2 linked regions of the Schizosaccharomyces pombe genome follow. Changing the gene in region 2 together with the main gene of any one other region gives a genetic interaction. Each region holds a gene or a part of one and is shown on either strand. Other genes may lie near its edges.

Evidence for each region. Genes that interact genetically often act in the same process or in processes that back each other up.
Region 1: of alp21 (region 2) and alp11, extra expression of one rescues a mutant of the other (dosage rescue), as found in Schizosaccharomyces pombe (2 studies listed by BioGRID).

Annotation. Positions count from the first base shown.
Region 1 is NC_003424.3:2,251,357-2,254,948, reverse strand, and holds alp11 (tubulin-specific chaperone cofactor B), read right to left. Parts: upstream 1,567-3,592; 5' UTR 1,482-1,566; coding exon 777-1,481; 3' UTR 509-776; downstream 1-508. Other genes in the region: ribonuclease H2 complex subunit Rnh201, read right to left, coding at 1-361; ubiquitin ligase Btb3, read left to right, coding at 1,760-1,968, 2,037-2,128, 2,179-3,449. UniProt on the Schizosaccharomyces pombe protein: Required for microtubule function and cell polarity. Involved in the proper folding of alpha-tubulin.
Region 2 is NC_003424.3:2,388,339-2,392,095, reverse strand, and holds alp21 (tubulin-specific chaperone cofactor E), read right to left. Parts: upstream 2,161-3,757; 5' UTR 2,011-2,160; coding exon 1,856-2,010; exon of another isoform or gene 1,818-1,855; coding exon 1,549-1,817; exon of another isoform or gene 1,507-1,548; coding exon 1,407-1,506; exon of another isoform or gene 1,361-1,406; coding exon 1,085-1,360; intron 1,042-1,084; coding exon 306-1,041; 3' UTR 153-305; downstream 1-152. Other genes in the region: protein Cbp8, read right to left, coding at 2,423-3,757.

The DNA of each region.
Region 1 (3,592 bases), 140 kb from region 2:
TAGATTTGTTGCAAATTAATTTCAGAAGTTCCTCTCGCTTTAAGGAGGCCAAAGTTTTACTGTCAGCAAACCCATAGTTGGTCAAATCGAAATCGACTGGACAGTAAGCGACAGCATATACCATAGGTCCTAAGACAGGGCCTCTACCAGCTTCATCTACTCCTAATCGATATGGCTGACTCTTGGAAATATCATCAGTGACTGTTGAATGATAGTAATTCGATTTTGCGGGATTCGATTTATTAACTGAAGGTGGTAAAAAAGTTATTGAAGAATTTTGGTCTTCTTGTAGCTCATTTTCTGAAGAGTTATTGTCACTGACTAGTTCTTCTGGTTCCCATGCATCGTGATCATCTTTCATGTTGAGATTGCTGCTTTGTATCTTTTAAAGAATTATCAGAGTACTTCTAATATTTGGCTCAAAAACTGAATAAAAAAATAAATAAAGGGGTTGAAGGAATGCGCAAATAGGCCTAACACAGTTTTCTTTCGTTCGTGGTTTTAATTAGCGGTACTACGGTAAAACGATGTAAATAAAAAAAAAAGAAAAGCCAGACAAACAATTCATTACAGTTATAATGCTTTCTTTGATTGAGTAAAAATATTTTAATTGAGAAATGACTAAACTAAATGATTTACTTTTTAGACTTTCATTTTTTTAGAAAATTGTTCATTATCTTAAGCGAGTCATCTCCTAGCAATCGAAGCCTGCATACAAGATTTAACAAAAAAAAAGGAAATCATTAACATGGAACCTTGTAAAACGAATAACAACATCAAAGACCTTCTAAAATATCTTCTGGAGGGAAGTCTCCTACTTCAACTTCAGAAGATCGAAGAAAGGATCCATGTTTATTTTTCGCATTAAAGTATCTCTTTCCGCTGACTGTCCCATCATTTTTCCCAACTGGTTCATCAAATTCGACGCCAACCCACAGATTGTCATTATTAATTTCAGGCACTAGTCCAATATAGCGAATAGTTCCATATCTCTCTCCTGCTGCACAGCACCTAGAATTTAAATTTTTTTGTAAGTCGACTAATTCACGTTTTAAAGATTCTTGTCGAGAAGCTTTACTTGCTTCAAAGTCTGGATTGAATCGTCCAAGCTGATTTCTTTTTTTCCAGGCATAGACAGAATCTGTCCTGTTCTCATACTGTTCACGAGGCATTACATATTTATCAACCTGTGAAAGATCGTCAAAGTCTAGACGCAAATGAGGAGGGCGTGTATCCTCAACGACTATAGTCCCCAGAGGCTGAAGCTTGAATTCCCCTAGGTCTAAATTCTCTTCTTCGCTAGTGAAAACGTGTCCAGGGACTGTACTGGAAGCAGGTTCATACGTAAGTTTTTGGTATTGTTCTGGTGTCCCTACGATAGGAACTAATTTGGTCTTAAGCTGACTAACAGTCCATTGTGGGTTAATCCTTCGTTCAGCATTTGCAGAGGAAGATTTAATAAAGAGAGTTATCTCATTCATGTAGCAAATAATTTTAACTTAAGATATATGATTAATGAAAACGGAAAACACAAGAATATATAAAGTGGTGGAAGACGTAGTAGTTAAATGCTGACGCCGCCTTGGTCAGTCGTTCACAAATCACATCGAACTTGAACAATTACATAGAACCCTCGTTAACCAACTACATTTCGCATATGATCAATTAAATTTTAAGTCGATAATACTGTTGAACATAAGTGCAATCTTTGCTCAGTATAACCTTTTAATCGGTTGTTAATTGTTCTTCATTTATTAAAATGGCTTCTCAAGATCAAAATACAGGGACAACACATGTCGAATTGCAAGGTGGTGAAAATTCTAAAAAGCTTTTCTCCAAGTATGACCTTTGGTCAAAGGCAATGGATGAGAAGAAGCTGTCTTCCTCACTTTTCACAGTAAATGATACCCAAGAATTTCTTGAGCTTTGTGAAGCTTGTCGGCGTGGAGATTTGGAAGTTGTCAAGAGGTATGTGCAATTTAAAAATATTGAATCGATAAACAATTTTAACTGCAATTGCTAAATTCAAAATCCAGTTTGGTCGAAAACTATAACACACCTATTAATCAAGTAGACCAATTTGACTACTCGCCTTTAGTCCTTGCGAGTCTTTGCGGGCATGAACCAGGTATGCTATGAATGTTTTGCTCTCAATTATTATATTTTCTCACGCTTAAGTTGTAAAATTTCTTCTTGAAAATGGTGCTTTATGCGAACGAGATACTTTTCAAGGAGAAAGATGTTTGTATGGTGCCCTTAATGATAATATTCGCCGTATGCTTCTTTCTTATGATATTACTAAAGCCATTGATGAGTCCCAACCTTATGCTAGTCACATAACTTCCTTGTTGTCGAACTCGGCTTTACATTTTACTACTGACATAGTCTTTGCCGGTCAATATGGTAGGGTTTTTGCTCATAAATTCTATTTAGCTGCCAGAAGTTCATATTTTAAATCAAAATTTTCGAAATTGGGACCCAGTGAACATGAAATTGAAGTCAAACATTTTGCTAAAGAGTTTGAATCAATTTTGCGATATCTCTACTTAGACACAAATGCTGTTTTCACCAAACAGTATAACAATGCTCTTCTGAGTATTGGAAAAAAATTCCAGTTAAACGATTTTATCGCATTGTATGAAAAAGATCGCGAGCAGTTACACTCTAGAGATTGGAAGAAAATCCAGTTGGCAAAAACTCAAAATGATCTAGGAGAATTTTTGGATTATATAATCTCTAACTACAAAGTACCCATTGAATCTCTTAACCAACCTTCCGATCAGTATTCGTTTCACGATGCTTACTTGCAATCTTATACACACCGCTATCCCGTCCATCGTGCCATCATGTGCAGATGTGAATATTTTTTGGACATGTTAGCAGGACCATTTTTGGAAAGCAATCAAGAACTACCGGTTTTGTCTTTACCTTTTTCAAGTTCTGTTGTTGAAATTGTATTGAAGTTTTTATATACCGACAAAACTGATATAGCGCCGGAATTAGCTTTAGATGTAGTTTACGTTGCAGACATGTTGTCGTTAGATAAAGATAGAAGCTTGAAATCTTTAGCTTCTATAGTTATTACTAAACAAGAAGAGCCTATAGATAGTATTTACGATATTCTACGAACAGCTTGGGATACGTCTACGCCTCGCCTGGAGCAATACGCTTCCGAATATATGGCAAATCATTTGGAGCACTTGATTGACGATCCTGAATTCTGTGAATTAGTCAAAGAAAGTGCTGATCGAATTTTACAGAGACAAGAAACAGACACGATCGAACTCATTGATGATATTCGTTATTTCCTCTCAAAACGTTTTGGCATTTACCATGAGGATTTGTGCATTGATGGAGTTGTAGATACATTAACACCTTATGAAAGCGAATATAATCAAAAAATGGAGATGATTGACGATTTACTAGATAAACTGGAGCTACAAGCTTAATGGCAATGGTAGAAAAAATAATATTTCTTGAACACTTCAACTGTTTAAATTAATCATTATTAAAATTCAAATTCATAGAAAAGGCTTTATCTCAGTTTGCGCATTGCAAAATAAAGTAACGGGATACTTTTAGTACCATCACC
Region 2 (3,757 bases):
TCACACTTGACGTGTATTTTTTTTTTCTATTGGTTCAAGGTTTTGGCTTTGGTTTTCTTTGTTTCTTAATAATTTTATAATTGTGTCGAACCGATTAAATAACTTAGAGGCACTTTTCATATATGGTATATACATGGAATTAGTATATTTAAAGAGTTATTGAATATTAAATATAAAAAACTTCTAATGACTAATCGCGTAAACTATAATACTAGAAAAGAGTTCGCTAAAAAGATTTTTCTGTATTTTAAAAGAAGCCGTAAAACTAGAGCATCGATTTTGGTCCTTCAAGTAATAACTTGGCTTTAGACGTTTCCACTTTCCTTTGCATATACATCGATAAAAGTACAAGTAAAAGGGAGTTCAAAGAGACGCTTTTGGTCGTCTCTGACAGTCTTTGGAGAGAAGCTTACATCTCGTTCGCTTGAAGCAAAGACAAAAGTAGACGTATGTACTGGAATTGCGAAGTGGTATGAAATTAAAGCTTTTATATCTAACAGTTTCCAATTATAATGGAGCTTTAATAACATTGTCGCACCTGAGTTAATTGACGATATTTTGATGCCCTTTGTTATGCGATTTTTAAGAATGCCAGACGTCCAGTCATTGATTGAAGCTTCCAAATGGAATTGAATGCTTGGCAACTCGTGAGATTTCCATATTTCCTCCCAGAATGGCTCTATTTTCGTAAGCTCTTCAACATCCTTAATTTCATTATCAATCACAAGCTTCCGGATGCATGAAGTGTAGTACAACTCAGCATCCAAACGCTCATTAGGTGATATATTCACATCATTCAATTTTACAAGAGAAGGAATTCGCGCAATCACCAGCAGTTTAGCTATATCAGTAGGTTTATTAAAATAAGAAAGTGTTATACGCAGGTGCTTTAAGTTTTCTAATGTACGAAGATGATCCAGAGAACGAATATCCCTAATGTTGTTTTCTGATATGTCAAGGAATGTCAATTTGTGTAAAGTGTGTACAGGTAGTTCTGCAACATCAGCGAGGGAGGTAGAAGATAAATTCAAATTGTTAATTCTTTAGATTAGAAACCTAATTCGTATTTCTCAAATATACTTACCCTTGGAACACATCAACTGCATAGCCATCAGCACTATAAAGATTGAGATTATTTGCAAGACTTAACGTTTGAAGGAACTGCAGATTTTTAAAAGATGTTGCTTTTGATAAAATTATTTCATTTGCTTCAAGGTAAAGTACTTCCAAACTGGGAAAAGTCTCTGTAATCCATTGAACATCTTTACTGTTTAGGCCACATCCATTCACTGAAAGTTGTGTTAAATGAGGAATTAAAAGAACGGTATTTGAGCTAATAAAATTTGAAAATAAGTTTGAACTGAAAGAGTTAGAATATACGTGTAGAGATAAACAAAAACACATGCTCTAGAGTTAAATTTCTTAATGAAGGAAGCTGGGAACACAATTTAAGGATTGGAAAAAATTCATGAAACAAATTTCTCGATAAATCTAAGTCGATAACTTCTACAAATTCCGTTAACATTTAGTTGAAAATAAGTGACATACCAGGTAGTATTTTAGAATACTCGTACTCTATTTCAATATCTTCAATCCTATAATTGTCTAGAATAATAACGCGCAAGCTTTTTAAATCTCTTTGCTTGCTTTGGATTTTTTCGAAACCACAGAATTCTACCTGTTTTCCACTTTTAAATTCAACAGAGGAAGGTAGGGGACTTGAATATGAATATTTTTCGTAAAGTGCTTCCAAAAATGTTCTGCATGGATCAAAAGGGAATCCTTTGTCTACAAATATTTTTCCTTCTTTTACAATTCTAATAGTTTAGTTTCTTGTCGTCAATAACAATCTTACAATGGTTTTTTGTTTCTCCAACACGTTTTAACAAACTGTTTTGCATTTACGTTTTTATCAAGTATGACTTGGTATCGATCATTGTTTCCTTCGATGGTTAATGTTACTAAAGTATTAGATATAGAAGCCCTAACCATTCCAGTGGATATATGCATTATTAATCAACGTGGGAAAGAAAATGGATTGCTATAAAAATTTGGGCAGTTTAAGTTTTTTGTTTCTTTCAAATTTTGTCTTTTATCTACAACAAAAAGTTTTAACCGCACTTTTTCTTTGCGACATAGAAGTGTTCAGTACGTAGTGATAATATAGATGGCATCAGATTTGTTAGGAAAATAGTTGGAAATACTGCTTATTATTATACGGGTTTTGATTCTAATGTCGATCTCATTTTTAAATGTGCTGCTTTATTAAGTCTCTCAATGTTAATGTAAATAATCTATTGTTGGCTGCATACCTCGTAAAGTACAACTTGATACCAATGAATATATTAATTATCAAACAATGCGTTTAAATGTATCAAGCACCAAGCACGATGTAGATTGGAAGCAGCACTATCGAGAATTATCACTTTTTTAAATGAACTGTACATAAAGGAAATGTTGCTTTTTGGGGGCGAGAACTCCATCCTGGGAGAATTCGCAATTGTTGATCTGCAACCCATTTGAGACTTCTAAAATTTACCTCGTGAATGGCAAAAAATTCGATCTCTCGGAGAACTTTGTCATTTGATAACAAAGGAAAAGAAATTATCTTTAAAAAACGAATTGCGAATTCAGTTCCCATTTTTTTGCTCAATATCGAAATCAGAGTTCTGGTCCAGTCGCTGCTATTACGGAAACAATCAACAATGTAATCAAACTGAAGCCCAGATAACCGTATATACTTTAAAGCATAACTTAATTTATTTTTTTTTAAACAATAACAAAAAAATCTGGGCAGGTTTTTTGGCATTATTTCGATTCCTCGTTTTCTGTAAAAGTCTTTTACTTCGAAGGAATTCACACCTTGTAGTAATAATAAATTAATCTTATAACGACTAACTTCGTTTAAATTTTTCTTTTTGTTTATATAATAAATACAGGCATTCAAAAAACCTTGATTCTCTTGCATTTCACCAAACATCTTCAAAAGAGAGAAAATAAAATTTTCCGGAATTTGGCCTTTATGCTCTTCCCAATTTTGATTTATTTCTTGAAAAATTAAACGATCTTTAAAGACGACAACGTAATTAGCGAGTACATTTAGCAGGCTATAGCAATTTAACAAAAAAAGCTGACGAATAGGTAAAACATGCTCCAGTAGTTTTTTGCAATCTTCTTTCTTTCTTAATAAAATAAAACGAGAAAGAAAAATTGCTTGTACGTCAGCCAAATCAGATAAATTGTAGTGATCTCGTATAATATGTAAATATGCGGAATAGACCTCCATAGAGCCTTCTACTATATTGGAAAAATTTTTGAAAAAAGAAACAAAAAACTCAATTTTTACCGGCCATCCCTTATTAAATGAGTGAATGAGCCACATTTTAAGAGAGCAGCTATTTTTAGCCGAAAGGAGAGATATAAAGACTTTATCCAGAAACTGTTCAGATGGAGTTATCCTTTCATTATCAATATGCTCCATAAGCTGAAAAAACGCACGTAAACGTAAAAAAATTTCAGCCTTCTCCATCTTCGAAAAAGCAATAGACGGTGGTAGCATAGAATTAGCTAACATGCAATGGCTCGAATTTCCATGGAAAAGACTGTAATCTCTAATGAGAAGCAAGAAAAGTGTGCGGAAATCATTAAAAGTTTTTGAATTAAGTGAAGAGCGAATATTAGCGCTTTTCAGCAGTTTTTCAACTTTGTGGTACGGTCCATCTTTTCGAAAATATATAGAAGAGAATGAACTGTCATA